Coturnix japonica: one gene and its partners. The protein of the gene in region 2 binds, or shares a complex with, the protein of the main gene of each other region. Links are inferred from orthologs where the notes say so. Each region holds a gene or a part of one and is shown on either strand. Other genes may lie near its edges. The genes, in order: KPNA4, NFKB1 and NFKBIA.

Region 1 (10,294 bases), on a different chromosome or scaffold from region 2:
CACAGCTTTTGGATGTGACAGAAGCATCCCATGGCATGAGAGAATGGCCCCCACGTGAGAGTGAATTTAGCCCAAAGATATGAGAGCTGTTACAACCTCAGAAAGTTCCCTAAACGTTATTTCTGCTCATGCACTGTAGCAGCACCTGGCATTGACTGCATGGGCTGGATTATCTTTCAATGCAGGGTAAATCATTTCTCCCCCAGCCCTGGCTGCAGAGCAGCACTGTGTTGCCTTCCTAGGGGTAACTGCAAGGCCTGAGATGAACACAGACACTTGTCAAGGGTGGTTACATTTCAAAACATGAGATTACTGCACTACATGTTGTGTATAGTCAAGAGTTCGTGGTCTGCATATTTCACTGCTGTCATGCAAAGGCCTTTGGGCAGCTTCTAACAAAAAGCAACTTTAAACAGCTGAGTAACAATTTAAAGATTGTTTAAATTTCACTGTGAAAAAGTGAGGAGAGAATCAAGGCAGAAGGCTGTACTTTGTTTTGGACTGAGTCATTTATTTAAGGCAGCAGCATTCATGTATTTCTAGCTCAAAAGGGATGACATGCATCCACCCCAGGTGTTTCTTCAGTGCACAGTCTGTCATACGTAACAGCAGCACTCATAGAGTAGAAATCAACTTTTCTCTTAGATTTAAAAGTCATACTGTCTTTTGCAAAAGCACAACTTTGAATTAGTTCCCCTGAAGCAACCTGGGGCTGTTAGTTCAGAGGGGAGGCCAGAAATACAAGCACAGCGTGTGCTGCTCACAGCCCAGTGCTGTGGTGTAGGGTCTGCACAGGCTCACACTAAGGGCTGTGTGCTGCCTTGTTTCTGGCACCGTTACGCCTCCACCTGCCCTCTGCTTCAGCAGAAAAAGGTCTGTCAGCACCTCCATCTCCCTCCAGAAAAGCTTTTGATGTTAAGGAGCTACAACAGAGCACTCTGGGGAGAAGTGAGAACAAGTGCAAAAGAGCCTGAGCTGCTTCATGGGGCCTGAGCAAACTGCGGTGTTTTACTTGAACGGGTCCTCTTCAATCTTACGCAGTGAGTTCTTTTGTAATGATGTCCATTTCAAAATGAAGCCCATTTTGTGAAGCCCAGTTCTGCGTTATCAACTATTTTTTAATGTCTTTCTCAACTGGAGCAGCATTCACAGCTGATCCCAGTTCGAGTTCAGGTATTACTTGGTAATGGCTGTTTTAATGTCCAGCAAGCACAGTTGGATTCCAGACTTGGAAATGCTGCCTGTAAAATAAAAGCATATATAGCTGTGTTTGCACACCAAGTAAAAGATTATCAGAAAACACCCGACCAGCAGACTAATATCTACTTTTTCGTTAATACTATTCCATTTTGAGCCTGAAAAGGCACATAAGCCCAAGGATTAATGAACATTTTTCTACGTACGAAACAAATCTTCTCAGCTTTACGTAATGTTTTGTTCCTTACACTACAGAAATAGCTTTACTGGCCATGGTAAGCCATTTCCAGCAACTCATTTTACTCAAATGAACCAAAATTTCTGCTTTTTGTTAAAGGAAACCACCAGACCAACGTCACGAGATCAGGAGCTCAGAACTGTTCCTCAAAACAAGCCTTCCACGTGCTGGGAGATTTGCAAGGCAGATCCGAGGTAAAATCAAACCAATACAAAAATAAGTTGGTAATTGTTCCTCTGAGAGCTAAACAGATTAATTAGGCTGCAGTTAAACAAAATGCACTTGATTAATCTCTGATTATGTCTTCACTTAAGACAGACAGTAAATTATTCTTCAGATGATACCAGATGAGAAATACGGATCAAAGGCTGCTGAAGGGTAGTCTTCCTCCGAACATACATAATTTAATAACAGTGAAGCATGCTCTTGAATTTTATATGAAGGTACATGGTGAGAAAACTACGCATGCCAGAATGGTCTGTTAGATCTGTGGTCGCAAGGCAGGTGTCGATTTGAAGGAAGGTTCTCCAAGGAATGCCGAGTGATTCTCAGCTGTTTTCAAGTGGTTACTCATGAGATGACACGGCTGTTGTTCAGTTCCTCCTTTCGGTCAGTCTTTTTCCAAGAACCGAGAGGTAGTGCTAAGAGAGATGATTTAATGGAAAGGTCATTGTTACTTGTTGGGGCATTGAGTCAGTTTTGGTCACTAGAGAATGCTCTGGCTTTCCAATTCCATCCTTCCCAAACTACATGCTGTGTAATCAGTCAGTGCTCAGTGTGGGGACAGTGGGAGGTGGCAGAGGTGGTAAGTCGGCCTGTTTAGGTTAGTAAAGACAAGGAAATGGTAACTAGGGGATAAAACTTTTCTTCCCTTTCATAAACTTCTGGGTCAGCCCTTAGACGCTGTGTGTTCCTCACCTTCATAGCCTGACTGCTTGTCATCTTAAGGCATGATCAGAAACCAGGGGAACAGAGCCCAGTTTCATTATTAGTGACCACATTCTACAGAGACGGAGCCTCAATTGTGCATTAATGTCCTGGTTCACAGAGAAAACACTTTGAGGATGCAACTTTATAGAAACCACTCTGCAAAAGTCCTTCCCTGGGACTCAGCAGCTGTTCCTCCATGGAAGGACATTACAACTAACCAGCACGTTCACGATAGTTCTGTAAGGCACCAAACAGCCTCTGAGACCAATGATTTCATGTCATTCTGTTACAGCAACTCTTCAATATCTGTACTTTAACTATTTTGCCAAGCTCCAAAGCAGTTTCACTTTTGAAAAGCCTTTATTTCCTTCTGTCTGCACGTAACTTCCTCAGCAGGAGTAAAATGTTAACTGCACAGATTAATCAGTCAAAATTCACAGTGCTTCACCTCTAGTTTTCACTTAAAATAATACTTAAGCTGTTAAACTTTTGTTTTTAGGTGTTCCTTCCTGGATTCTCTTCAAGCTCCATCCCTTCCAGGAGCACAGCTACATGTCTCTCACCTGTGCTCCCACAGCTGACCCGACACTTGGCTCAGCTCATTGATCAGAGGATCAGGCTGTGGTTATCAATATCCCATATAGACACGTAAAGAAAATATCTTCCTTGTATACCAGACTGCAACGCGCAGGAGTTACAGCTGTAGCTTCAAAAGATGGTTTATATATTGGTAAAACAACAAAAGATGGTTTATATATTGGTAAAACAACAAAAGATGGTTTATATATTGGTAAAACAACAAAANGTTTATATATTGGTAAAACAACAAAAGATGGTTTATATATTGGTAAAACAACAAAAGATGGTTTATATATTGGTAAAACAACAAAAGATGGTTTACATATTGGTAAGATGAGATATGCTGATATATTTATGGAGACTGAATATACCAGGCACTACCCTGAGCAGTAACTTTCTAACTTTCATTATTAGTTCAAGTTGTGTTTCTTTGCTGCTACAATACAAATTCAGGGAAGACTTTCTCCAACTGCCAACACTTTGTGCAGCACAGAGCTAATATTTTTGTCATTAATATTAATTATTATTATCCTGGCAGGCCACAAGGAGCTAACACACAGTGTATTACTACAAGCTCTGGGTGGTTTCATTGCGATTAAACAGCGATACCAGCCCCCCCCGCCCCGTGGCTCCGCTCAAGATGGCGGCTCCGAAGCTCCTGGAAGGGCTCCGTCCCCTCCCCCCCCTCCCCGTCACCTCACACGTCACGGCGCCGCTCAGCTCCCGCCCTCTCCCTCCTCGCTCCCATTGGCCGCCTGCCGCGGGCTGCTCGTCCAATGGTCGCGCTGTGCCGTGCGGCCCAGAGCGAGGCTGTGTGTCTCCCCTCCCCCCGCTCTGCCCGTCCCCGGCTCCGGCTCGTTCGGCGCCCGGCAGCGGCAGCGCCGCCCGCAGCCCGCACAGCGCGCACAGCCCGCACGGCCCCGGCAGCGCCCACGGCCCGCACGGCTCCTACGGCCCCTTCGGCCGCTGCCGAGAGCGGCCCGCGGTGGGTCGGAGCTACAGGGCCACGGGTCCGGGAGGAGAGAAAGGAGGAGGAGGAGGAGGCGGAGGAGCAGCCGCGCTCCCTCCCACCTTCCCCCCCGCCATGGCCGACAACGAGAAACTGGACAACCAGCGGCTGAAGAACTTCAAGAACAAAGGCCGTGACCTGGAGGTACCGCCCGGCGGGAGGGGCCGCCCGGCCATGGCGGCGGGAGGGACGGAGGGAGAGAAGGAGGGAGGGAGGGAGAGGGGGCCGCCGTGTGGCGTCTTTCCTAATCCGCCGCCGAGGGGCCCGCGTTGGGGCCTTGGCCTGCACCGCCCGCACGGCGAGGGAGGGCCGGGAGGAAGGGGAAGGGAACGGAACGGAAGGGAAGGGAAGGGAGAGGAAGGGAAGGGAAAGGAAGGGAAGGGAAGGGAGAGGCCGCGCTGCGCGCTCGGGTGCGGCCGTTGGGCTCCGCTGGGGGTGGAGGCGCTGAGGGGCAGCGCGGGGCTCCATGAACGCGCCGGGCCGGGCCGGGTCCCTGCGGGCGCTGCGCGACCAGGCGGCGCTGAGGCCCCGCGGCTCATCTCGGCCATGGAAAACATGAGTCAGGGCCGGGCCCGCGGAGAAAGCGGCTCCTCGGCTCCGCTTTGTACCAAACGTCGTTTTAAATCACTTCTTGTTGTTTCTTTCCCTATCCGGGGCACATATCGCTCTCGTAGCGCTGTGTGGAAGCAGTCGTGGGATCAGCGTGCCGTGCTGAACTTGTGGGTGGGTTCCTCCATCCCTGTGTGTGCTGCTCCGGGACTGAATTAATGGGGTTTTCTGCAGCAGATATGCAGATCCTGGTGCTCGGTATCAGTCTCGCCCATCACTCCCGGCCCTGGGGGAGGCTCTGTGTGCTGATGGCAGTGTGAGGCCGTGGTTGAGCTCAGGGCTCTGGCCTTCACATTCTCTTGATGTTTGGCCCCGCTGCGTGTCCCTATGGTTACAGTGACATGACATCCTGGGCCTTCTTGTGCATTGCTGAGTGCCCCGTTCATCCACATGAAAAGTAAAGGCTGCATTTATATCGCTGTCACTTGCGAAAGCATCACCCGTGTTTCCCACTCGAGGTATCACTGGCTCCTGTTGGATCAGGCAGTTTATTATGGAGTTACAACATCCAGTGGTGCCAAAAAGAGGTAGAAATGGGAACAATTGCCACAGTGACTGCGCTGTTGGTAAACAAAGATGTGTCCATGGCTCCTTGGCTCTGTTGGTAACTCCTGCCTCAGGTATTTTTTTGTGTATGAATGTTTTTTTATTGCTGAATAAAAAACTGCAAAAGGAGTGAAAGTTTGGGAGGACACTCAGGGAAATCTATGCTAACATTAAAATGAAAGCAGCAGCGGGGGGGATAAAAACAACACAGGAATTCATTGGGGTTTTCTGTCCTTTGGTGCCTCCATGCTGGGGGTTGAGGCAAGTCAGCTCCGTGCTCAGGAGCATCACGCCCAGTGTGTGTTATTGCAGGTGTTTGTGAATGAAGGAGCAGACAATCTCTGGTCCTTCTCTGAATTTGCTGATGCGTTTCAGTGTCCTGCGCAGTGAAAGCAGCACTCCCAGGCCGTGTTAAATTTGAGATACTGACATCTACCCAACGACTCTTGGAACTTACGTTTGCTGCCTAAAATAACCGCTGTGGATGGTTATTTTTCACACAATAGCTCAGGCTCCCAGCTCTGATTCTGATTTTCTCCCTGCTTACACGCTGTGTTTTGCGTTAGAGGTGAGGTATTGCCAGGCCCTCTCACAGCTCAGTATCCTGTGGTAGCAACAGTTGCTATTCAGCCGGTTCATGGCACGTGTGTTCCTGCCCGGCTTTAGCTGGAAAATGTCTATTTACTTCACACTGGCAGCCAGTGTTTGATCGTTATCTCTTCCCCTCATCTTGCCTCCTTCACTCCTCCCCCATTTAACCTCTGCTCAAACCGTGCTTTTACCCATCGGTTTTATACTCAGCACTCGGGATCTTTCTTTTCTATGACTGTTTGCCTCCATTTGCTGTACCAAACAAACCACCAGTTATGCTGGGTATTATTTTGGGGGATGCCGAGTTACTGGGCAGCTCTGGGGGTAGATGCAAAGTGCAGACTTGAAAAGAAAAGAAGGTTTTTGCTTATAGTCACTGGGCTGAGCATGGCGAGGTGTTGAATAGGAGCTGATGCTGTCTGTGTGTTCAGCTTCCAGCTGCAGGGAGGTGATTGTGCCTTGCAGATCACGGGGGATTTCCAGCGTTTTCAGAGCTGCTGAGTGTGTGTTTGACTCTTTGGATTCTTCACACTGGTTTTATTTTCACTTTCCAGGCTTTCTCAGTGGGCTTCTGAAGGCACAAGGGCTGCCCTTGAAGAAAGGAAAACAAAAAGACGCCTTTTACATAATGATATTTAGCATAATTCCTTCATGCACTGAAGTATTGGGTAAACATGCGTGCACGGGCATGTTACATTGTAAACAATTGCCGCCACGTGTTTTAAAATGACAGATGGGTGACAACAGTAGGAATAGAGGGGTTCATTGTGAGCAGGAACACAAAATGTTTGCTTGTTCTGCCTTTTATTTGTAGTGCTGGATAAAGGAATCGTAGAAGGCTGATGATACTCGGTATCTGAGGGTCCTGTGGCAGGAGAGATCAGTCTGCAGCCAGCACGCAGGCAGGAGCTCTGTAGCAGTGAACATTGCAACTTACACACACATGGAGCTGTGCAGCTCTTCTAGGGCTGGAGTGTCAGCACCAGAAAGGAGGAATTGCACTTTAGTGGCTTGGAGGAGGTGGCCTTACAGAGCTACAGGAGCAGCCACTTACATCAAAAACCCCATCCATACTTCAGTGAGTGCTTAGCGAGTTGTGCACTTGGTAATTACTTGGAAAGTCAGCTATGGTAGCTTTGACTTTTTTTCCACACTTCTTCAATGAGAAACAGGTTTTGCTTGGCCTTCATTTTATTCTTTTCCCTTGCATAAAAGAGGATGAGTTGTTTTATTTTCCAGCATTTGTTGTACAAACGCCTCAGAATCAAATCTTAAGTCTTTGCTATACAAAGGATAAGTGAAAGCTGTTCCTGGTGTCTGCAGCAGGCGCAGGTTTGTGAATGGGTTGGTTTGCAGTAATTGCTGGGTGCTGCTCCAAGAGCTGTGGAGTGCAGCCGTGCTGCTGGAAAGGAGCTTTGGGTGCCTTGTTTCCTCAGGTGCTGTGTCTTATTTTGAGTTAATCAGTGCATGCTGCAGCCTTCAAGTCTGATTGGCATGTAGGTTATTGTGAAATGACATCCAAGATGTATGTTATGCAGGTTATCTCTGGAAGTGCTGGAGGCAGACGGTGGGTTTGTCCACCTTTGGTTTGTCCACCTTTTCTTCCCTGCCTTGCCTGTATGTTATTGAGAACTGCTTTAATAGTGCCAACACAGAACAAGTGTCAGACGTTCCTGTTCTGTGAGCGAGAGGAGCGTGGTAAAAACTGCTGCTGGTGTGATGCGGGTACTTAATTGGAAACAAACACGGAGTGGCCATTGGGTCTGAATGTTTTCCCATCTGCTGTTGTCAGGACTTGTATCAGTTGCCAGTGGAGGTCACTGGGCTTGTGACACTAAGGGTGTATTTGGGAACACCAAGGAAGCTTCAGAGCATTGAAAGGAGCACCCTGAGATTCACAGGTAGCTGGAGCCTCTTGTGCCTCTTCCATAACCCGCACAAGGGGGTTTGTGTGAGATTCCTATGGGGGACTGAAGGAGAGCAGGAATCTCGCTCCCTGGGAGCTGGTTAAAAATAGGCCCCGTTACGCTGACTTGCAGTTCTGTGAGGAAGCTCAGACGCTTTGTTGTTTAAAAGAATCGTACTGAGTTACTTGTTTGTATAAAGCATTGCAGTTGGAGTACACAGCTTCTGCAGGACAAAGCCGGAATGGCTGCGTGTGCAGTGTCATTGCTTTTTATCTGTTTATTACTTTTATTCCTTTGCACTGAGAGTTCCCATTGTAACTCTAAAGCGGAAAGAGCTGAGATGTGTTTTTCTGGTGGGACCTTGTGGGGATGGTTTACTTTAAAACTCTGCAGCATTTTTATGGGTGATGTTGAGGGCAGGATTTAGTGCTGCAGTCTGCAGGTGAATCAGAATTAGTATAGGAGGGAAATAATGGGTAAAGGAGGGCCCGAGTCACTGCTTTGGATTTTTAACAAGTTCAAATGTGAGATACATACAGCTCCAGAGCACATCCTTACCTTTGGAGTTCAGTGCCTTCTTAGGAGGAAGTTTTTCCCCCAGAGGGTGGTGATGCACTGGAACAGGTTGCCCAAGGAGGCTGTGGATGCCCCATCCCTGCAGGCATTCAAGGCCAGGCTGGATGTGGCTCTGGGCAGCCTGGGCTGCTGGTTGGTGACCTGCACACAGCAGGGGGTTGGAACTGGATGAGCACTGTGGGCCTTTGCAACCCAGGCCATTCTGTGATTCTTTTATACCTGTGAGGCTCCTTTGCCATTGCTGTGGGAATGGAGCAGCCTCCTCATCTGCTCTGGGCTGCTTCCTGAGCAGCGGGGCATGGAGGTCCCTGGTAGTGCCCCCTTCCCCTGCTCACCTGTGGGTGCTGTGTTTTTATTTGCAGTCCAGGCTTGTGATAGTGTAGAGAAGCAGCTCTGCTTTAAACTGCCTTTGGCAGGGCATTTACTGCAGTGGGAGAAGTAGGTGAAGTTCTACCATTGTTTGTATGCTGTCAGGCTGTCGTAGGTGCACAAGTAGCTGCTGAAGTGAAATATTTCATGACAGCAATCCAGTCCTAAAGTGTGCACAGGAGAGAATGAAGATGTGCTGCTCCATGGGAGGGTCAAGTTCTTGAGAAATATGGACTGGAGAAAGAAGTGCAAGGGGCCTGAGGTGTGTTAGCTCTGGGTATTGGGGCTGCTGGGCTGATGGGACTGAGCTGTCCCTGAGCGTGGGGCCTAAAACTTCTGTATTGGGCATTGCAAACATGAACATATTGGCATCCTGCAGCTCATAGAAGATCGTACTGATAGGCTGAAGGACTCAGGAGTGATGAATGGTCAGAAAACGGCCTTTATGATAAAAATGTTCGGAGCTAAATATACTGAAAAAAGGGGTAGCAGCGGTAGGTTGATGAAAATAGATTTGATTACTTGATTTCTGATGTAGAGCAGAATGAAGTGACTGAAGGAGCCAGATGAATTCATCCTGAAGTGATGCCGTGGAGCAGTTGCCAAGGAAGGAGCGTTCAGAAATCTGTTTCTAGAAACTTGTAAACGGAGCTGGTTTGCTAATGGCTGCGTTAGTGCAAGGTGAGACGGCTTCAGAACAGCTCCACAATCACATCAGATCTTCTCCAGAGCCGAAGGTGACACTGGAGAATGCAGCTGTATGGTGCCATCTGCCAAGGAAGTGGTGTGTCTTGATTTCTTCTCTTGGCGATGATTTCTGACAAACAACACAAGTTTATCCCAAGTGTTGTTGCTATTTGGGTTTTTCAGAGCAGCCCATTCCATTTCCAGCAGTGATAATAGTACCGTGCAACTCCTCCGCTTCATCTCTTCCTCCTTGTGTATTTTCCTTTCCTGGAAGGCAGAGCAGTGACGGGCTGAACCAACAGCAGCTTCATCAGCCCGGCACTGTTTGCATAGAAAGTGACTGCAGGGAGCCCTGCTTTGAACTGCTCTTAAGAGTGACTTAAGTGGTGCTTTGTTTGTGCAGAGGCTTGTGCAGGTCCATGGCAGTCGGGTCCTTTCAGAAGCAGAGAGGAACTCAGGCTGCCAGCCCTGCAGCTTCCTGTTGGTTTTGTTTGGGGTTTTTGTTCTGTTGGTTTTATTTTCTGGAGGAGGATCCTTTTCCTTTTCCATTGGTGCTGATGGGTTCACAGTGTTTGGAAGCCTGAGCAGTACAGGTGACTTCTTTTGATTTATTTATTTATTTTTCCAGGTAAAGAAACCTTGTAAAAGTTGTGCCCAAGACTTTTTTTGCTTGGACTATCTGCTTTAATTCCACCCTTTTCTCCCCGTTTCTGTTACACGTGTGATATGTGCTTGTTCTGAATGAGGGTTTGCTACCACCGAAGTCATAACACTGTTAGTTGTGACTATATGGCTTTTAACAAACCCTTATAGTTTCATTTCCCTTTACGGTTGGCTTCCCAGCAATGCAATTTCCCACTCTTTTGAAACTACGCAGCCCGTCTCGCTCTTGGTTAGCAGCAGCCTTTCCCCTGTAGGACAAACTCAGACAGGAGGGATCTGGGTTGGATGTTGAGCAGCAGTTCTTCACCCCGAGGCAGTGAGGCCTTGGGCAGCTGGAGCTGCTGGGTCTGCCAGCCCATGGCCACCTATCATAGGGAAATGGAGCTTAGCTGC
Region 2 (9,551 bases):
TTTCAAGCAAAGCCTGGGCTAGATTTTCACCTTTTCAGTAGCACTCCCCAGCCGAGCTCCATTTGATCAGAGATGCCAGCTCCTTACATGCTCACATCATGCCAGCTGTGTGTACTTGGATACTGAAGCTCGAACCATGTAATCTAACCAATGTTTGGGTAAGACACAAAAGTCTACTTTCACTACATATCATCCAGTCTGCAGTTCTAAAGACCATGCAGCAGAGAAACTTATTACAGTGTCTCACCCTGACCTTGTAGACCCTGAACAAGCACCTTCAGGCACATGCTGCTCTGTCTGCTGTCCTCTTCCATATTGACAACCCCAATGCAACTACTTAGAAGAAATGCCTGTTCAATCCTGCTCAACAGAAGTCAGCTACTCTGAGGAGCTTTTTTCCAATACTACTTCACTGTTTCTTGTGGCTCAGTAAGTTTGTTTGTGATGCCAGTTTGGGTGCTGTAGAAATTTGTCACCATTTAAATAACTGGATGAAATTAAACGAATTGTCAGTACTAAAAGACAGCAGCCCACGTACCTCCCAGTTGGCTGCCATGTCCAGTGGTGTTGTTCCAGGTACAATCCCTTCATCATCATCATCTTTCACATCTTCTTCAACATCAAAGAGCGGCTCAAAGTTCTCAATGTGAGGATCTGCACCTGGAGAACAAGCGTGCAAGGCATTTCTAAGGAAAGGCTTTTAAGCTGTTTTACATCACGTTGTTGAAAAGCACGGTTTAAACAGCTACGTTAGAAGGTTTACAATTCAAGACTGAGAATACATATTTTAACTCCGAAAATGGTGTTTTTTTCCTAAATAAACTGAAGTGAAATGTCACAACATCCCCATGTATCATCCATTATACAGATGGGGAAGAAAAGACAAGCCGTGTGGTTAGGCCCAAAGAAAGCATCTGATGATATAAACTGACTTCCAGTTCCATTCTTGGCTCACACAGCATGTATGTGACGAAGCACTGGTGCAGGGCTTCCCTTTTGTAGTGTCAGAAAGCAGGAGTGCTATTAAAAGACCAAACACACAGCCAGAGCAGGGGGAGGCTTGGATTTCTGTCTCAATGGAGAAAATCCAGGTATTAAGGGATGAAACACAACTGAAAAAAGCATTGAAATGCACAATCAAAACCAAATTTACTGTCATGATTCAAAACTGCAGAGAAGTGGTCCCAGTTTCTATGCCTGTAAAGCAGTCCAGCCTTATCCCAACTATAAAACTGGGTCTTTTGTCTGCTTCATATTAAAAACTATCTGCAAGTACCCCAAACCTCCAAGATTGCTTGGAAGTATTTTTACTAACACAGTTTTGCTTTGCTTTTTGTAGCCATTAGATGGTGCTAAAGAGTAGCAGAGCCTCTGAAACTAGGACTTCCCAGAGGAGAAACAAACCTTTATGCTTTTAACATCTGGTATCTTTTGCTCATTATGAAGTTCACTGACTGTGTGCAACGCCTTCACCTGAACTGGCACAGTTAAAGAGAACCCTGCAACAAACACTTGACCCAATACCTGCTGCTTTGAGAACTGCTGCCAGCTTCGTAAAGCCCCTTCCAGCTGCTATGTGAAGAGGCGTTGTGCCGTCGTATGTAGTGCTGTCCACATCTGCATCACCCTAAGTATTGAAAGAGAAGAAAAATGCTATTATCTATACAGTACTGTTGCATAGAGACTTGTGTCTGCATGAACCTCACTGCTCTGCAAGCAGCACCATTCCGTGCCTGTTTGCACAAGAATTCCAATTGTCTGAAAAGAATGAATCGGAAAGTGACTACAACTGTTGGCACCAGTAACAGACAGTGGTTGTGCTCTGCAGTGCCACAGCAGGAGGCAGCTGAGTGAACCAGGTAGATACAGCTCAAAAGCCACTTTGCATCCCATAATACTAATCAGATAATAGTTCTATTATCAGATTACCCGCAGCATTTGCCGTGCACTGAGAGCTGCCTTCCTGCTGCCCTTCAGCAGAGCAGACGGGCCGGTAGCACAGCTGTACTCCATACCCAGGGGAGCTACTGCAGGTAGCTGTGGGTGTGCCCAATTAAGTGTGCTGAGATCAAGGTGTGAGAGATGAGACAAATATTTACAGATACACACAGCTATCTCTCTGCACATCTGCACACACATTCCACCGCACCCGATCAGCAACTTGTTCGGGAGTCGTTTCATTGGCTGCTGGGGTTACTCAGTGCAAATTAAGCACGGCGCAGGCAGTCAGGTCAGGGTCACCAACTATATTTCTCAGCTTACAAAAGGTTCATCAGCGGTGCTGAATGACTAATAGCAAATAAATAACATTAGCGATAACTTCGCCATTATGCTGGTTAAAGTAATCGAGTCTATAAAGAGAAACATGACTTCGGTTCCACTGAAGGCTGACATATTGAAAAAGCCTTGAAAATATGTTTCTGGGAAGACCAGGGGAAAAGAACTTCTGCCCTCACCTCGAGCAAAAGGCAGCCTGCCAAGGGGATGTTCTCCTGTTCAACAGCTAAATGCAATGCAGTTCGTCCAGATTTTTGTTCCTGAGCATTGACGTTAACTCCAGCAGCAAGCAGCAGTTTCAGACAGGACAAGCTATTGGCGATCACCACCATGTGAATTGCACTGAGACCTGCACAGAACCATTTGTGTACATTAACACTTGAACAACACAGAAATGTCACAGTGATGACTTCTTAAGCAGCTACAAAATGACTGAGTGTTACTGTATTTATCTGAGCACCTTTGCCTGTCTAAGCACCAAAAATGGTGTTAATTAAAATGTTCTTTGTGCACAAAGTTGGAATTATTTGTGTTACTGATGGGGACTAGAAACCATGCATAAAAAAAACAATCAGCTAATAGCAGGGCTGGAACAGAAGGGAAGAAGGAAGAGCTCACCTTAGAATGTTGTTGAAACATCCTGGAGAGTGACTAATGCTCGTTAAGGTCAGACAGCCCTGGCACCTCAACATTAACTGCAGCGGCTCAAAAAGAGAATCATAAAGCTTTCTATTTATAAATAAGAAGAAGAATAGACCCTCTCTGAGGAACTTAACACAGGTTTTTAATTCACATAATGACATTTTTAGGTCAGGTATTTTACTATCTACACCTAGTGCAAGAGTACTATATTCAAATGACCCGTGCCATTAAATAGTGGGAGAGTTGGGTCTCCATGGGTATTTTATAAGCTTTAAGACTCTGTGGTCCCAAAGTTCCAGAGGTGATACTTGACACAGGTCCAGAAATGCCTTTTGAGGGGATTTCATTCACTAGAGAGGAGGAAATATTTTCAGGTGGAATTTCTTTAACAGTGGTTCTGTAGGGCAGCTCAAGAGGAACGTAGCTCTTGAAATTCTGTGATATTGAAGAAGAAAAAGTTCCAATTCACACTGCAATACGGACATTGTCAACCTCTGTGTTCTGTCTAACCACAAAGCCTGCGCGTCTTTGTTCTCTTAGCTGACTGCAGGTGTGTAAAAGCCAAGGATATAATGCGCAAACCATGGAAAGATGCGACTTCCAAAGTCTGTATCTATGTAGAAAGGCTGGGCTGTCAGAAATGGTGCGGTGCTTGTCTAGGCAGTAAGTAAATGTGAAGTACAGGCACTATTGTTCCATACCTTCACCATTGGAAAGGTCGATCATTGAAGATGCCTTCTTATGCTTGAGGAGCAGACCCAGAATCTTGTCATCTCCTTCAGCAGCAGCTAAATGTAAGACAGAGTTACCGTGGCGATCCAAAAGGTTGACATTTGCTCCAGCCTTCAGCAAGTCTTCTACCACCTCTGCCTGCTTTGTGATTACTGCCAGGTGCAAGGGGGTCTGCAAGGGACAGAAGTGAGCCATGAGAAGATGAGCGGCAACTACACGCCTTTACAGAAATCGGCTGAGCCAATAAAAGCACCTCCTGTGGGGTGCTGCTCCACTTTTAATGCTGGCGCAGGTGAAAAACTTCTGTACATTTTCTTCTGCTGTATAATACAGATAGGGTTTCTACTTAGTGGAAATAAAAGCCACCTCACTGGTGTCAGCAGTCAGACCTGAGGAGGAAGGCAGACATTGCCTGCTCTGTGCACTGGGGGACTAACCTGGCTGTTTGTCATGCAAGGGACTTGGGAAATGAGAATCCCTGTACTCCCAGAGGCAGTAATAACCCTGTTTACAGCTGCCCCCTGCCAAGCTCCTGCCACAGAAGGAGCGCACACACTTTATAGAGCCTGTTCAGCTCCGCCTCCGCAACTGAACCATACTCTAATTTTGCTCCTAAAAGTTCCCAGCCACAGGTTTAGGATCTCCTTATCCTTCAAAACAGCTACATACAAAAAGCAGAAAAAACTCGCAGTTCTGTTTGTCAAAGCTCAGAGTGCACAACGTCATCGAGCTGATACTGTTTGCCTGGTTCCCATCTCTGCACAGACACCCGCAGCACTGAGGCTCTCAGGCTGAGATTTCAGGCTTTTCCAAAGGTTAACTGTATTCTGCATCCTCGTCAGTAAGAAGCTTCACCAATCACAAAGTATACACTGAACAGTGAGGCACTGCAGTGCTTTGGGAAATCCTATTCCTCACAATAAAACAATCTGAAAAACACAGAAGATTCTATCTCCATATCATTATTTTTATATTTACAGATGACTGTAAAAAAGGAACTAATTTCAGCTCTATACAATAAGCTTGTGTTTGTCAGTGGAAACGCCAATGTATTTGCAATTAATTACTTGAATTTATACAACAAAGCATGATTCATCTTTCAGAGTATCTGTGCAGAAGAAAACCTTAGACTCAACCTGCATTTCCTCCCATCACTGGCTTAAGGTTAAAGTGGAAGGTAGAACAGCTGGAGAAGTCTGGTAGTTTGAGATTTATTTCTTGTATGGGGCACAGTTTTACTTCCTGTTTCTGTTAAACAGAGGGCACAGAAATTCAATTCAGAATCTTCTTGCTTTCATCACCTTCCACATTTCGAACTTCCTTTATGCGAACACAAAAACGAAACATGAAAGAGAAGAAAGAAGTCGCAATAAAGCCTCTGAGATTATCTGCACAGAATGAAGCCTTGGCTTTACCGTTTACAGCTTGGTGCTGAACAGAAAGAAATGGCACCAATCTCACAAGTGCTCTGTGTGCCATCCAGCTGGGTGCCTTTAGGACAACGGAATGGTGCGCATGGCTGAAAAGAGCTCCTTGTACTGGCAAGTTTTCACAGCTCTTTTTAAAGCCCATCTAAGTTGCAGCAGAAGAAGCTCAGTCTGTGTTACAGATAAGGAGATAATTGTGCTGGGCTGCTGACAGTTACTTCCCTGCTGGGTAAAAGACGTGCTTTTTTGTGTGCTTTAAATGTTACACTGTGAGCCAAGAAACAAAAGAGAAACCTTGGTGCTCATACAGCGGGCACAAGGACCTTCTAGGCTACAGAAAGACACAGCTGCTACAAGCTTCTTCAGCAACTCAATCATGACCCTGAGTTGTCCTGCATTACAAAGTTTGAAAGATCCCAAAGTCGCCACATCTCTGGTTTAATAATAGAGGAGCCACATAATGAAAATACAAACTGAAGAATTCAGTAGGATTTGGGGCTGTTCTATGATAAACAAATGGAGACATTTCTCTTAACACCAAGGCAGTTAGGAATTAACAGAGGAAAAAGCACACCCTTGTTCTTCCACCTCCTTACAGCATGTCACCGCGTTCTTCTGTCTGTGCAGTTCTAAACCTGTTTGCCTCACTATCTGATCTGGGCTCATTCTGATGAATAGAAGGACAATAGGACAGTAAGGAGTACAGTGTTTGCTGGCTGAATGATCCCCATCAGTTACACCACCACAACATCATACCTGATAAAGGTCGTTTCTCATGTTGATAATGTTGTTATAATTCATATCTGGCATCACTTCCAAGAGGTTTTTAACCAGTTCTCTATGAAGGTGGATAATTGACAAATGCAGGACGCTGAAACAAAATAACAGATCAGCATTGTCACTGTATTCTCAAAGGTATGATACAAAGATGGGGCTGTACATTTGACTATTAGAAGTCATGGCCGACACCTCAAATCGAGTGAGAAGTGAGCTGTGTGTAACCCTTCAGTCACAGAAGGAGATGCAGGATGGTTTCTGCTGGTCCTAACTATGACCTTGCTACTAGTCCAACAAATAAAAGCTTTGTATCACAAAGAAATGTCTCAGAACCTGTTCAAAATACCCAGATCCTTCACTGTTTCTTTTCCTGTTTGGAATTACTCAGCACACTGGCATCTCTTCCTGTCAAAGCCTTCCTCCAGAATTTCCACGGCCTCATCTGCTACCCAGGCAGATTTTCCCTCGGAGGTTCCCCTCTCCCCAGGCTGTAGGTTTTTCTTGTTTCAGTTTTCAAGCAAAATGACTCAGGGCTCAAGACCAGTGACCAACTGACCCAGGATCTGCAACAGTGACCAAAGGTGTCTCACTTGCTAAAGGAAAAACGTGCTGAGGGACATGAGCGACTCTGTGTTTTAATACTCTCTGACTCCATGAGATCAGTACTCTGAATGCAGTAACAGCCAGCACTGCTGTAAGAATACTCTGATCACAGATTAACATTAACATAGGTATCAAAGCCTTCACACAACACACAGGATCTCTACAAAGGTATTTTCATTCCCTGCAGACTGTCCCCATGAAAGATGCGCAAAACTGTTGTCAATAATGTTTTTTAACAGCTTCAGCAAAAAACGCGCAGTCTTTGTCATATGTTTGTAAGGATTACAATGAAAGTTACAGGGAACTGATTCATAAATCTTGGAATTTTGGTTTTCTCTTAAACAGCTCCTGTGACACAGCTGGCAGATGGCTGCCAGAACTTTGGTTTGCTCCATAGCTGCAGAGCGATTTGTATGCACTGCACGCTCACAGTCTAACTCCTTCCCAGGAGAAAAGCAACACAAACTCGAGACTCACACACTTGCAGGTACTTCTTGATCCAGGAAAAATAACTGTCATAGTGATTAAACTACTCTGACTTTGTTGAAATGTCCTTCAAGTCCAAATCTGGGGAACACCACAGTGACGGTTAAATGCAGGTCACTCTTACTGGGACACAGATTAATACTCTCATCATCTTCTGGGGAATTTTTTGCATTAAAAACAAACAAAACCAACAAATACACTTAGAAGCTGTATTGTCCAAAGTGCCAGCAGATTTTACTGCTAGCCCCTACCTCATCCATACACCATTTAACCTCAAAGCTTCATCAGATTGCCAGCTGGAGAGCCAAGGAATCAGTTCTCAGTGATTCTGAGTACTTAGTGCATCAGCACTCTGAGGCCTGCTTCAGTCTCTTGTGATTTTCCATCTGTTTAGAGACCTTAAGTTTTACATGGCTTCTACTGCACAAAAGACTGCAAATAAGGAAACAAGAATGATTGCACAGGGTCTGTCCACAACCCGCCAGCTAAAAAGTGACAATGGGATAATATCACTTGTTTATTCAAGAGAGATCATCCCTGCATGTGCTCAGAATCACTTCCACCAAGCTTGGTTTTAAATAACCACTAATAATCTGTGTCTCACTGTATTTCAGTCTGAGTCCCACGCAATCTGCACAGCACCCTTTGGTATCAGTAGGAGAAAAGCAACAAGGACTCTTAGCTATTATTTCTACTTCGCCCAGTGCATCCAGAACTTAAAATTCCCTATGAAGAATGAAGGACTTGCACAGAACAAAAAGCAGGGCACACTCTGCAGCACAAAGCTGGTCATCTCCATCAGCTGTGTCCCATGGCACAAACGCAGCAATCCATGCTCAGCACTGATCTCCCAGACAGCACGAAGGAGAACGATGCTCATTTGATTAGCGGTGCTGCAGTCCCTGATCAGCGCCCACAGCAGATGGAATGCTGACACACTCTGCTGCCAAAGACTGAACTCTCCTGTCGCTAAGTCCTTGCCAGCACTGACTTACTTGTCTCCATTGTCATCCTGGACAGCAGTGAGATGGCGCTGAACAGCGAGCAGCATCCTCACATCTCCAGTTATAGCATAATCAAAGAGAGCGTTGCAGTGACGCTTGGCAAGCTGCATTGCCTTCTCCAGGAACAGACCATCTGCAACACAAATGTTTGTCTTCATTAGCTTGGTTGTCTTCCCTGTGGCAGCACCTTCTTTTGGCACAGGTTTGTGCTGCCACAGAAATACGAAGTGCAAATCACCACACATTCATTATTTACCGATTGGCTGAGATGGGTTGTTAATTACACCTGAGAGGAAAGGACAGAGGGAATGAGTCTCTTGGAAGGAAATGGGGCACACGCTGAGCACTCGGGCAGCAGGAATCCTGAGAACAGCCCAGCTCTGGAAGCTACCTGTGGTTTGAGTGGCACTGATAATTCCATTAACGTGCATTTGTGTGCAGAGAACAAAAGGAGCAGAAACTTGGAACTGCTCAGATACAAGTGACAGGCAAAGACTCTTGTCCATAAAGCACTTACAAGAACATCCCACATAGCTCTGACTGATTTCAACTGGAGCAAACTGAGGCACAAGAAGCCTAAGAGACCTATGGGAAAGAAAGGCTGAGGGAACTGGGCTTGTTTAGCTTAGAGAAGGCTCTGGGGAGACCTCATTGTGGCCTTCCAATACTTGAAGGGAGCATATAAACAGGAGGGGGAACAGCTGTTTACAAGGGTGGATAGTGATAGAACAAGGGGGAATGGTTTAAACTGAGACAGGGGAGGTTTATTTTAGAGATTAGGAGGAAGTTTTTCACCCAGAGGGTGCTGATGCACTAGAACAGGTTGTCCAAGGAGGTTGTGGATGCCCCATCCCTGCAGGCATTAAAGGCCAGGCTGGATATGGCTCTGGGCAGCCTGGTCTGATGGTTGGTGGCCCTGCACACAGCAGGGGCCTTGAAACTGGATGGTCATTGTGGTCCTTTTCAACCCAGGCCATTCTGTGGTTCTATGATTCTATCAAATGTTGTACAGAAACTCACAGAGAAAATACGGCATAAATGCAGAGCTTTGTGTCATCCCCCCAGCCTGAATGAGGCACTCTGTCCTACTGTACAGGGGCACTCGTAACTGAGGGATGCCACTGGCTGCTCTGCCAGTACTTTGTGGTTCTGTATTGGCAGAGACTAGTGAGAATGAAACAGATAAACTTTGAAACCACAGTCCTTATTCTGAGAAGTGGTATCATCTGAAACCAGCCTATATTCTGAGCAAACTCAAGTTTCTATGAAAGCAAGGTTAGGAATCGCTAACAGCAAACGGGTGAAATAGACGATATCATTTACATAGGGCTCACATAGGGAGGGAACACATCGGGATTTCCAGCTACACAAGACTAACGTTTCAGTCTTACCTAGATGTGTACCCCTACTGACATGAACACAGAATTTCTATATGCCAAAGGCTAACCCAGCTACCCATGAAGTTTATTTTTACATCTTCGAGATCACTGTGGCTCCCAGACTGTATGCATAGGCTGATACATTTTTACTTGTTATTTACTCCTTAACACTAAGTAATAGGATTCAATAGATGCTGTATTCAGGATATACATCCAACATAAAA
Region 3 (10,027 bases), on a different chromosome or scaffold from region 2:
AAGGTGCTGAGGAGGTGGTCTAATGGAGAGAACTGACACATACCTAACAGTAGGTGTGAAAATGTGAAGAAAAAATACCAAGGGAATTCCTAAGGAATCAGAGAAATGTATTGCTGTGTGCTTGTCCTGGCTCTGAAGAACAGCAGGAATGAGGGACCTTGTGGTGGGAAGTCCCCAGCAGCTCTAGGGAAGCAGTGTCCATGATGTGAAGGCAGCAGAGATTGCATTCTTAGGAGGAAATAGGGTTGTGATACCACGGGATAAACTGGAAGGACAATATGCTATGAGGATCAGTCTGTAGTCAGGGGCTTTTCAAGGGAAGTTATCTGATTGCTTCCTCATGCAACTCATAGGTGGACTGGGGGCAATCCTGTCACAAGATGCTGCTGATGTTGGAGATGTGCAGCAACTTCAGAAGTTAACAGGTTCTGTGGAATAAAAGCCCATGAAGAACCATCTCTCAGAAAGAGGCCACTTTGATCTCTGTCAATCTTCAAACCGCAGGTTGCTGAAGTTAGGAGACTCAGTATTGCTAGATAGTTGCAGTCTTTGTATGCTTTTCTGTAGCGCGTGTTCCTGGCCATTGCCACAGTCAGGAAACTGAAACTAAACTGAATGGGACCCTGATCTGTATTTGGAATGGATACTTTTGAACTCTTTAAAGGTTGCTGAGCCTCATAGTGCCCTATTCAAGACGTTCAAGGTGCAGGAAGGAAGTTTTGGGCCTATGTGAAGAAGCATTGGCAGGAGGGAACAGACAAGCAAGAGCAAGCTGAGTTGTTCTGCTAAAAGCAGCCATGCTGGCAGAATTAATGAATGCCCAAGGATCTTCCTTTCCTGGTCTCACTAATGAGATGTGTCTACAGGAGTGCCAGGAAGGAAGCAGAAAGTTACCAACAAAACCAGTCTCAAAAGATCTTTCCAAATGCATAGGTACGGAAAAGAGACAGTGCAGATAAGCAGTGGCCAAGGGCAAGTGTCAAAATTTGCTTTCTTGAGAGGTAGGGAGTAACTTATAATGGATGATCTTTGCTTCTGTTATAGCATAAGCGAGTTCCATCATCAAGTGCAAAAACAAAACACTGCACTAGCAATGTACCCTGTGGAGTGGTTGCAAATACAAAACATGCCCAAAGCTAGTTTGTGAACAAAAACTATTCTCACATTACTCTGTCCTATTTGCTTTAACTGCATTTCCTGCATTTTCACTACTTGGTTACTTTTGCATGACTGATGAAGGCAAACAGCATAACATGTACCTTGGCAGTGATTTGGTTAGATGCAGAACTTACTTCCTTGTACAGCTGTACAGCATTTGCTTCATTTATTAAGTCATTATAGAACTCTTATGACGTTATAACAGCACCTGCCTAAGGTATTGTTTGTCTGGATGTTGCACTGGGTGCCAGGGAACATACAACTGCCTCTGAACGTACTCAACCAGCCCGATACTCCTGATAACTACACTTTCCTCCCACACTCCAGCCTTTGAGTAAAAAATATTTGTATTCAGATGGTATCTCCTTAAATATTTGTATACCAGGTCTGGCCATGTACCTCAGCACTTCCAGCACACTGGTATCTGTATGTGGTGAATGCTACCAAAGGACCCTTACATAATTTCAAGTCCATGTTTTGTCAATGGGAAACTGGGACATAGCTCAATGTTGGAACCTCTTCTACTTTCAGCTGTTGCAGTGTGGTGCTTAACTAGGAAAGGCTGAAAGTCATCTGGGATTCTTTGCTGGTAAAAACCCTGCAGTAGGTGGATAAACCCCCACCACTTCATCTGAATATCAGATTTAATGGGTGCTACAACTGCAGGAGTGCAGGGTGAGGCCCAAAGCCCCAGAAAAAAGACTATTGCCCAGACCCAATCCTGAAAAATGTTGCAGGCCTGAACTTCAGGAATGGCCCTTTCTACAAGAAGGAAGTTCCAGTGCATACACCTGGGCAATTCTAATGATATGAGAGTGGAGGGGAAATACAAATGACTCAGGATGACAATTTCTGTACAGTCACTTCCACAACAACCTTTGGCTCCCATGCAAATTAAGAAGCACCTAGGCAGATGCAGCGCTCTTCCTCGTACCAAACAGCCCTTTCCACAGGTTGTATCAGAAATCCCTTACGAGAGAGGAAATGGGTCCCCATGTGCAACCTGGAGCCATTGTCACCCACACTGGATTTTGAGCCTTGACTGTCAGCTGCACAAAAGTCCTCCAGTGAGTGCTCCTGGCAGAGCTCTGTCCTGCGTCAGCAGCTCTGACACACCCCATCCTGATCCCAAGGTTGTGGTACAGGTGAAATGCAGCCCAAAAGCTGGTCATGGTCATGCTTCACTCAGCTGAGCAATCACTGTTATGTTTCTCACATGCTGTTCTAGTATCTGCATCTAAAGTTAGGCCTTCTCTGCACCACACTGCCAAAAGGCGATCAGATGCAGATGGGAGTTTGAGCAGAAATATTCTATCTGCATGAATTCCTGGGAAAAACATAGAGGAATAACTGAAATGTGTGAAGGGCACTTACTTCATAGCTGCAGGCTGGGCAGGGAGAAATGCAGCTCCCACAGAAGGGAGAAGGGGAGGCCCCTGCTTGCAGCCTGGGGGAAGGCAGCAGTGCTCCTTCCCAGGCATGCACTCCTTCCTGTGGAAATCCCCTTTGGAAAGTCTGAAGATGTCCAAGTTCAAACCAGAGTCAGGCCGTGATAAACGAGAGGGTAGGCAAGCACAGGACTGCTCTGAAAATGTCCCTGAGCAAGTCAGTACAAGAGTAGCCAGGTTTAAAGCTACACTCCGCATCCTCACTGCACCCATGGACACCAGGAGCCAGAAAAAGGAAAAACAAAACAGATGCCCCTAAAGCAAGCAGCTCTCATTGAAAATAGACTCAGTCTCTCCATAGCATGCACGACCTGACGCTTGTGAGGCAGAGGGGAATCCCAGCCCCCTGCCCGCCTGCAACAACTGGCACAGGAAGCTACACCTACGTGCGCTGCTAAAATTAGCTGCAGCCGAAGCACTGGAAGCTGAAAGCTGTTTACATGTCCTACGCCTCCTGCCAGTGAACTACCCCAAACGCCCCAACCTCTGACCCTCTATGTCTGCTACATATCAATTATCTCTGAAAAAGCTAACCTCATGGATCCCATGCAGCTCATGTTGAGATGGATAATGAACCGTTTCACAAGCTGGGTACAGAAATCTGCTTTTTTAATAAATACATATCTCACAGGTACCAAAATAATTATAAACAAAAATGTACAGTATTTACATTCTATACAGTTGCTAAAAAGTGTAGCAATTATGACACACATGGTGTGAAACACACAGTTTCCAATGCCCACAGTTAACATCATTGCTACCTTCTTCCCAGCAGCCAGGTCATCTCTCCATGGTCAGACTCCTCCACCTGCTGCACCTCAACCCTGAGCAGCCAGGGTCAGGGAGCAGGGCACAGCAGTGCCTCAACCTAATGCCAACCTCACAGTCTTCAAGCAAACGGGATGTCTGTGCAAGTCTGTCTTGCCACCGAGGGGATGAGCACTCCTCACAGCACTTAGTGTTACAAGGCAGCTCACAAACGCATTTCTGACAACAGTACATTGGATATGCAGTCCGTTATCCTCATGTGGCAGAGAATATTAGGTAATGTGGCTCGTTCTCAGGTGGTGTGCATGTTCACTGATCTCTTAACGATGTTACACATCCCATTCCCGTTACTTAAGCACAGGTCAGAACATGGAACCTGTTAGCATGATGTGCTCCTGGCTGGGCAGTGTAGTATCTCAGCACTTTTTTCTCCTTCGAGTATAGACTTTCCTTTTAAATGAAGAAAGTCAGGCTCTTTTTCCTTTACATATGTACATAGTCACTTTTCACAGAAACCTCTGCTTCAAAATGTCAGCTGTCTTCCTCCAATACAGCAGTCATCATACATAAGCTGGAAGAAAAACAAAGTGCTGTTAATGCCAAACTCCTACTAGGATTATCCCATCTACTCTGGGACAACAGCCAAATTCTGCATGCCCTAACTCCAGTACGTCTGCAACTTCTACACTGAAATGGTTACATTTGCTATTTAACCATCACAAAAACAAATGCTGGGAAGACCAAACCCACCCATTAACTATTTTATCTCATTAAGTTCTGTAGGCATCAGCTCAGAGAAATAATACAGTGTGAAGCTACCCTCTGTTACCCACTGTATTATTTATATTTCACTCCTAAGCTCATTCTGTTTATAACCTTGCCCTAACTGCCACCCTGCCCTAACTGCCACCCCTCTGATGGCTGGCAGTACAACCTTACTTCATGGGCTGTAACCCCCAAAAGTTACATAGGGAAGAGGTCATTCACTGCAGTACCAGCCAAACAACAAAGAGCAGGATGTGACTCTTCTCTTGAAAAGAAGCAAACAGGACTTACTTCATCTTCTGTGAACTCTGGCTCTGATTCACTGCTCTCCTCGTCCTCACTTTCGGGCAGTATCTGCAGGTCAGCTGTGGTCAGCAGCTTCAGCTGCTCCTGTATGCTGGAGTTGTCTCGTCCCCATGTAAGCTGGTATGGGGAGTAGCCTTGGTAGGTCACTTTGTTCACATCTGCCCCGTGTTTCACCAGAAGTGACACCAGGTCTGAGTTCTGCAGGTCTACGGCCAAGTGTAGTGCTGTTCTCCCATTGCATGGCTCCTGTTTGGATACAACATGAGGTATTGCATTAGGGGAGTGAGGCTTAGCACTGTCACACCTGTTGATTCTTCCGACTAGACAGCTCACTTAAATTCATAGCATAAATTACATACCTGAGCATTTACATCTGCTCCTAAGGACAGCAGGTACTCAACAACAGCCAGGTATCCTTGAATAGATGCCAAATGGAGACATGTATGTCCTGGAAGATAAAAACAAAGGCAAAATTTGAGTAAGTCTTACCTAATGCCCCATAACTTGTTTAAAGTCAAGATGATAAGACAGAAGAGTATCTAAGTTAGTAAATCAACCGGGGCAAAACCATGTTTTTCAAAACAGCTTTCCAGCTTCCTGATAACAGGGATAACTGGGTTGGATTTTGGATTGGGTTGGATTTCTTAGGGGATCTATTCTAGGTTTTAACTGTGCCTTACTGTAACAACTTTACCCTCTAAAAAAAAAAAAAAAAAACAACCCACAAAAACATAACTGCTATGAGTACTGCAGAAGCACTCACTAAAAATACTAAATTTAAGGCCCATGAGAGCCAATGACCATGAGCGAGGAGGCCCGCAAGGCTGAACCCACAACATCTTAAGGAAGTCAGATGCTTCTTTGCTTTGGGCCCTCCTCAGCACTCCAATGGGAAGAAGATACTTCTCTTGAGATCTCTGCTAGGGCAGAGCACACGTACCATTGTAATTGGTGGCCTGCAGGACGGCGAGGAGGTGGTGGGGCTGGCAGTGCTGTGTGAGGACGCTGACACAGCGGAGCGAGCCCTGCTGGCAGGCAATGTGGAGCGGGGTGTTCCCACGGAAGTCCCTGACATCCAGGTCACAGCCAGCCTTCAGCAGGTGCTCGGCGATCTCAGGCTGGTCAGTGATCACCGCCAGGTGGAGAGGAGTCTGCAGGCAGGAGGGAACACACGGCTTTGAGTTATGTGACAAGTTTAGCAAAGGTTCAAATACACAAACCCTGCAGTGGCTATTGAGGACTTCTGCCCAAATGCAAGTACTGCAAGTCAGTTCTTAGCGCTTCCTGGCACAGCACACTGCTGCTCTGTAGTCTGGTAGCTATGGTATGGTATGGTAGACTTGGGGCTCTCCAGATATCACATATTCTATCCATATGGAAGGGCATCATTAACATCCCAATGGAGAGGAATGCGATCCATTGCATCGCGTATGAAAAACGCGAGAGGCTGCAGCAGGACAAAGCGCTGCACCCCCACCGCATGGAGTGAGCCAGGTGCTTTCCCCAACGTGGGCTCCGACTTCACATCCATTCAATTACACAGAAACTTCTCCTCGGGAATTCCCCGCGGGCCTTTTGCGGGGGCGGCCCGGCCCGGGGGCGCAGCGTACCTGGCTGAGGTTGTTCTGGAAGTTCAGGAAGGCGCCGTCGCCACCGGCCTGTCGGATCACCTCCAAGCTCAGGGACTTCTCTTCGTGAATGATCGCCAAGTGGAGGAAACTGCACCGAGGAAAAAAGGAAGCGCCCCACGTGAGACCCAAATCCCCCCAGCGGGACGCGGCTGACGCGGCCCCCGGCTCACGGCCGCAGTCATGTGCGGGTTTCGAAAGCCGGGGCTTTCCGCACCGCGGAGCCGCCTCTTCCTGGCTCCGCTCCAGGGACTTTCCGCGCTCCGCTCCGCTCCCCGCCCGGCGCCTCCCCGCCGCCGTCGCGCCCCGGCCCGGCCTCCCGCGGCCCCGACTTACGTGTCGCCGTCCTCGGTGAGCTGCTGGGCCCAGGCGTGCGGCCGGGCGGGCGGCTCGCGGGGCTGCAGGCGGATGTCCTCCAGCTCCCGCACCAGCTGCCTGTACTCCTCCTCCTTCATGGAATCCAGCCCGCTGTCGTGGCGGTCGTCGGGAGGCATCGGCCCGCCCTGCCGCTCCTTGCGGGGCGGCTCGCAGCCCTCCACGGCGGGCGGCTCTGCGGGGCGGTGGGCGCTGAGCATGGCGGCGGGGCTGGAGGGGCGGCGCGGCGCCGCGGCTGCTGCTGCTGGTGGCGGCGTTCCGACACGGACGGGCATCCGCGAGTGAGCGGCGGCGGCGGCGGCGGCGGCGGCGCCTATACAGCCCGGCGAGGGGATTTCTGCGGGGGAGGAGCCGCCGCCGCGGGAATTTCCAGCCACTCGGGCGAGCCCGGTCCTGCTCGGCGCCAGGGGCGGGCCGGGGAGGAACGGGGCCGGCCCAAAGCAGCGCGGCCCGGCCCAGCCCGGCGGAATTCCCTGCCGTGCCTGCGGGGGGGAGGGGGAAGTACTCGCCGTCCCGCTGAGTAACGCGGTGCCTGCGGTACTTCCCTGCGGCGCCCGGCCCGCTGCCCTGCACCGCGGCCCGCCCGGGGCTTCCCCGCCCGGATCGGGGAGAGGGCCTCCCCGAGGAGGCATTAACCAGCGCTCGTCTGACCTGCGTCGGACCGGGGGCATATTTCGGCCGGCTGGTGGCGAAGTGACGCGGTAAAGCCAGTCACTGTCCAGACGGGTGGATGCAGAGGCTCCCGTCGGTACGCTGAGTCCACCCTGCTACACGTGTTCTGTCCTCGTGCCCGTGCTGTCCCAGCAGCACCCACACCTGTCCTATGGGGCTGCCTGTCCTGCACCAGTCCTGGGGGAGGGAAGCAACACACTTCCCTGCAGGGCTGCAGAGAGGAGCTTGTCTGCGCTGACCCCATGTCCCAAAGCCTTGAGGGTGTCACAATGATAATATATATATATATATATGTTTAGAGAGATTCATACAGTCTTGTGCTTGACTTGTGTTAAACTGTCATACTGGCTGCAGGCCTGCAGGTATGGCATCAGCCTTCGTAACAACTCACCTCTCTGCTGTGGAAGATTTTAATCTGTCTCAGTGGCATGGGATGGAATAGGCAGGAAAGTCCTGTTCCACTCTTTGCACACAGTTCTTGCCACGGACTCTACAGAACCCTTCAGAACGTTTGTGCAGATTAAAAAAACAAAACAAAAACCAATCAAACAAAAAACCCCCTTTTCCCCCTTAAAAAGTGTTATATCCTGTCAGCATCCTTATTCCATGTCCATTTTAATTTTTTCCTCTCTGCTTTGTACTGGTGCCCTCCCATCTGCTTGCAATGAAAGCTGGCTGAATGCAGCCTCTCATAAGGATTAAAGTCAGTGTGGGTTTAGTGATGCCGAACTTTTCCCTGGTGAATTTCTCTGCTGCTACTCAGATGTGGGGGATTCCCATTAAGAATTTTTCTTCTCTTGCAGCAATTGCTGGCCTGGCTGACTAACTGCCCGAGATGTGCTCCAGCCACTTTCCCGTGGGATGATGTCTCTCTGCAAGAGGCCCTGGGAGAAAACCCAGAGATGAAAGAGGGAGGAAGATCAGAGAGGGCACGTGGGTTCCCAAAAACAGCTGGTCCTGGTTTCCAGCCCAGCCATACCATTCCTGGCCTTTTTCTCATTATTCATCTCAAGGTCTGGGACAGCCACCGGTGATTTTGGGCAGGTTTAGGAAAGCCAGGCAACTTTTTCTTTTATAGGTTATGGGGTTTTGAAAGTTTTGCAAGCTTCTTGAAAGGGTTTCCCCTTTTTGATGTAAATTGGCAGGGGGAACTTAATTATCAAATGAATCTCCTCCTGCCTGCCTCATGGCAGGGAAGGGAGCTGGGTGCAGACCTGAGCTGAGCAGCCTCCACCAGGGTTCTGCTGGAGCCATGCAGAAATTACACTGCAGAACTTCCCATCCGCACTGCAGCAGCTGGAAACTGAGCTCAGCAAAACAAGTTCTCTGCCTCTGCAAATGACTTCCATCTGCTGTCACAGGCAACCTTAAGCTATTTTTAGAAAGCATTTGCCAGGCTTCATTTTGGAGGCACACGTGCCGAGGTGTACTTGCTTTACGTACGTCTGGGAGCCGTGGTGCTTCAGATGGTTGTAGATGGTGGAAAGGAGATGGAAAAACAATTTCTGGCTGAAAGGTCAGCCCACTTCCTGCTGGCTGCAGTGCCCCAGCCGTGCCCCTGGCAGCAGGGGCTGAGCTTCAGGGCCAGTGGGTGTGCGTCCACGCTGCATGTTCACTGATGCCTGTTTTGTTTTGCTCTAAGAAAGTGATGTCCCAGAGTTAATAGTAGCTCTGACAGTCTCACCACAGGGCCCCAGGCATGGCTGGTGCCCAGGCTGTGAGGCAGCCAAAAGCTCAGCTCAAGGACCAGCCCTGCCCTTGCCCCAGTCCATGTGTGAAGCAGCAGGCAGCCAGTGGATGGCAGGGTGAGCAGGATCTATTAAAACAAATAAAGCTGCTATCTCCTCTGTAACTCCTCTCAGCTAACAATGTTGTTTATGGTATTTGCCCAGGAGGAGGGCATAAGCTTGTTGGAGACAGCGTGACACAAAGGTTTTGAAGCTGTGGGGAGGTCATTGGTGTTGTTTTTATGCTGCTGGGGCACTGTCCTTTTGCTGAAAATTAACTCATTCTATCACTCATTCTGTACAATTTCCCACATAGTCCACAAGCACAAATAAATATGATAGAAAGAAACAAGATCAGCTTTTCAATTTGTAGTTTTGTCCTTTTGGTTGCCTGATGCTCAGATTCTCTGCACAGTTCCTCACGTGAATGCTGCATTCCCCTGGGGCCAGAGCAGCTGTTCTGACCCAGGACAGGTTAGAGTCAATTGCCATGGTCTGTGCCAACCTGAAAGCCTCTATCTTCTTGCATATGCTGGCTCAGTAGTTCTCCTCTGAATGTACTCATTTTGCTCATCTCACAGGAGTGCTTTTCACATTCATCTTCTTGGGACCCAGGGTATTTGCATTTTGTATTTGTGACCATGTTAGGAGTCTTTGCTGCCAGTTTTGTGGTGCTCAGTGAAGGGCTGTGCAGATGCTCTGCAAATGGGTCCTTCTCCTTGTTACACAGACATCACAGTACTGAGGGATACCTGAACAGCACTGTGCCAATGCAAAAGGCTGGGACCATGTGGGTTTGCACCTGGTACCCGAGGACTGGATTTTGCACAAGTCCCCTCTGCACTCAACACCCCATCTGCTGTGCTGCCAAGCTGTGGGGAATATGTTTGGTTTTATTCCAGCCTCTAGCTGGCAAGGCTCAGAAGCAGTATTGCGTGCCTGACTGCTGGAAAAGGGGCAGTAGGATTTTAATCCATTTTTGAAGTACACGAAAGATTCTCATGCTGCTTCCTCAAGGAAACACATTAAACTGCAATTTCCTGATTGCCACACTAATCATGAGAACTGTCTAGTGCCGTCTCTGTGATGCTGTTGATTTACCAGAGTTGGTCCCTCAACTTTGTACTTTTGAGATTGCCCCTGCAGATATCTATTAACTGTTTCCACCCACTTCATCTCA

Evidence for each region.
Region 1: the proteins of NFKB1 (region 2) and KPNA4 are in contact, whole or in part, in a crystal structure (PDB 7LFC), measured with the Homo sapiens proteins. The link is inferred for Coturnix japonica from reciprocal best matches to the Homo sapiens genes NFKB1 and KPNA4. Residues at the interface, in NP_001158884.1 of Homo sapiens: Glu357, Glu358, Val359, Gln360, Arg361, Lys362, Arg363, Gln364, Lys365, Leu366, Met367; in NP_002259.1 of Homo sapiens: Arg96, Lys97, Leu99, Ser100, Ser101, Asp102, Arg103, Pro105, Phe133, Trp137, Thr140, Asn141, Ala143, Ser144, Gly145, Thr146, Ser147, Thr150, Gln176, Trp179, Gly182, Asn183, Gly186, Asp187, Asn219, Trp222, Val225, Asn226, Arg229, His230.
Region 3: the proteins of NFKB1 (region 2) and NFKBIA are in contact, whole or in part, in a crystal structure (PDB 1NFI), measured with the Homo sapiens proteins. The link is inferred for Coturnix japonica from reciprocal best matches to the Homo sapiens genes NFKB1 and NFKBIA. Residues at the interface, in NP_001158884.1 of Homo sapiens: Lys251, Ile252, Val253, Arg254, Met255, Asp256, Arg257, Thr258, Ala259, Pro326, Lys345, Leu348, Tyr350, Ile353; in NP_065390.1 of Homo sapiens: Asn108, Asn109, Leu110, Gln111, Arg140, Tyr181, Pro214, Cys215, Asn216, Arg218, Tyr248, Gln249.

What each region holds. Positions count from the first base shown.
Region 1 is NC_029524.1:19,639,550-19,649,843, forward strand, and holds the start of KPNA4 (importin subunit alpha-3), read left to right. Parts: upstream 1-3,792; 5' UTR 3,793-4,028; coding exon 4,029-4,097; intron 4,098-10,294. UniProt on the Homo sapiens protein: Functions in nuclear protein import as an adapter protein for nuclear receptor KPNB1. Binds specifically and directly to substrates containing either a simple or bipartite NLS motif.
Region 2 is NC_029519.1:54,743,630-54,753,180, reverse strand, and holds part of NFKB1 (nuclear factor NF-kappa-B p105 subunit), read right to left. Parts: intron 8,082-9,551; coding exon 7,940-8,081; intron 5,950-7,939; coding exon 5,835-5,949; intron 3,823-5,834; coding exon 3,621-3,822; intron 2,627-3,620; coding exon 2,457-2,626; intron 1,628-2,456; coding exon 1,525-1,627; intron 661-1,524; coding exon 539-660; intron 1-538.
Region 3 is NC_029520.1:32,785,790-32,795,816, forward strand, and holds NFKBIA (NF-kappa-B inhibitor alpha), read right to left. Parts: upstream 6,829-10,027; 5' UTR 6,724-6,828; coding exon 6,410-6,723; intron 6,165-6,409; coding exon 6,056-6,164; intron 5,597-6,055; coding exon 5,386-5,596; intron 4,894-5,385; coding exon 4,805-4,893; intron 4,692-4,804; coding exon 4,431-4,691; intron 3,946-4,430; coding exon 3,898-3,945; 3' UTR 3,195-3,897; downstream 1-3,194. UniProt on the Homo sapiens protein: Inhibits the activity of dimeric NF-kappa-B/REL complexes by trapping REL (RELA/p65 and NFKB1/p50) dimers in the cytoplasm by masking their nuclear localization signals.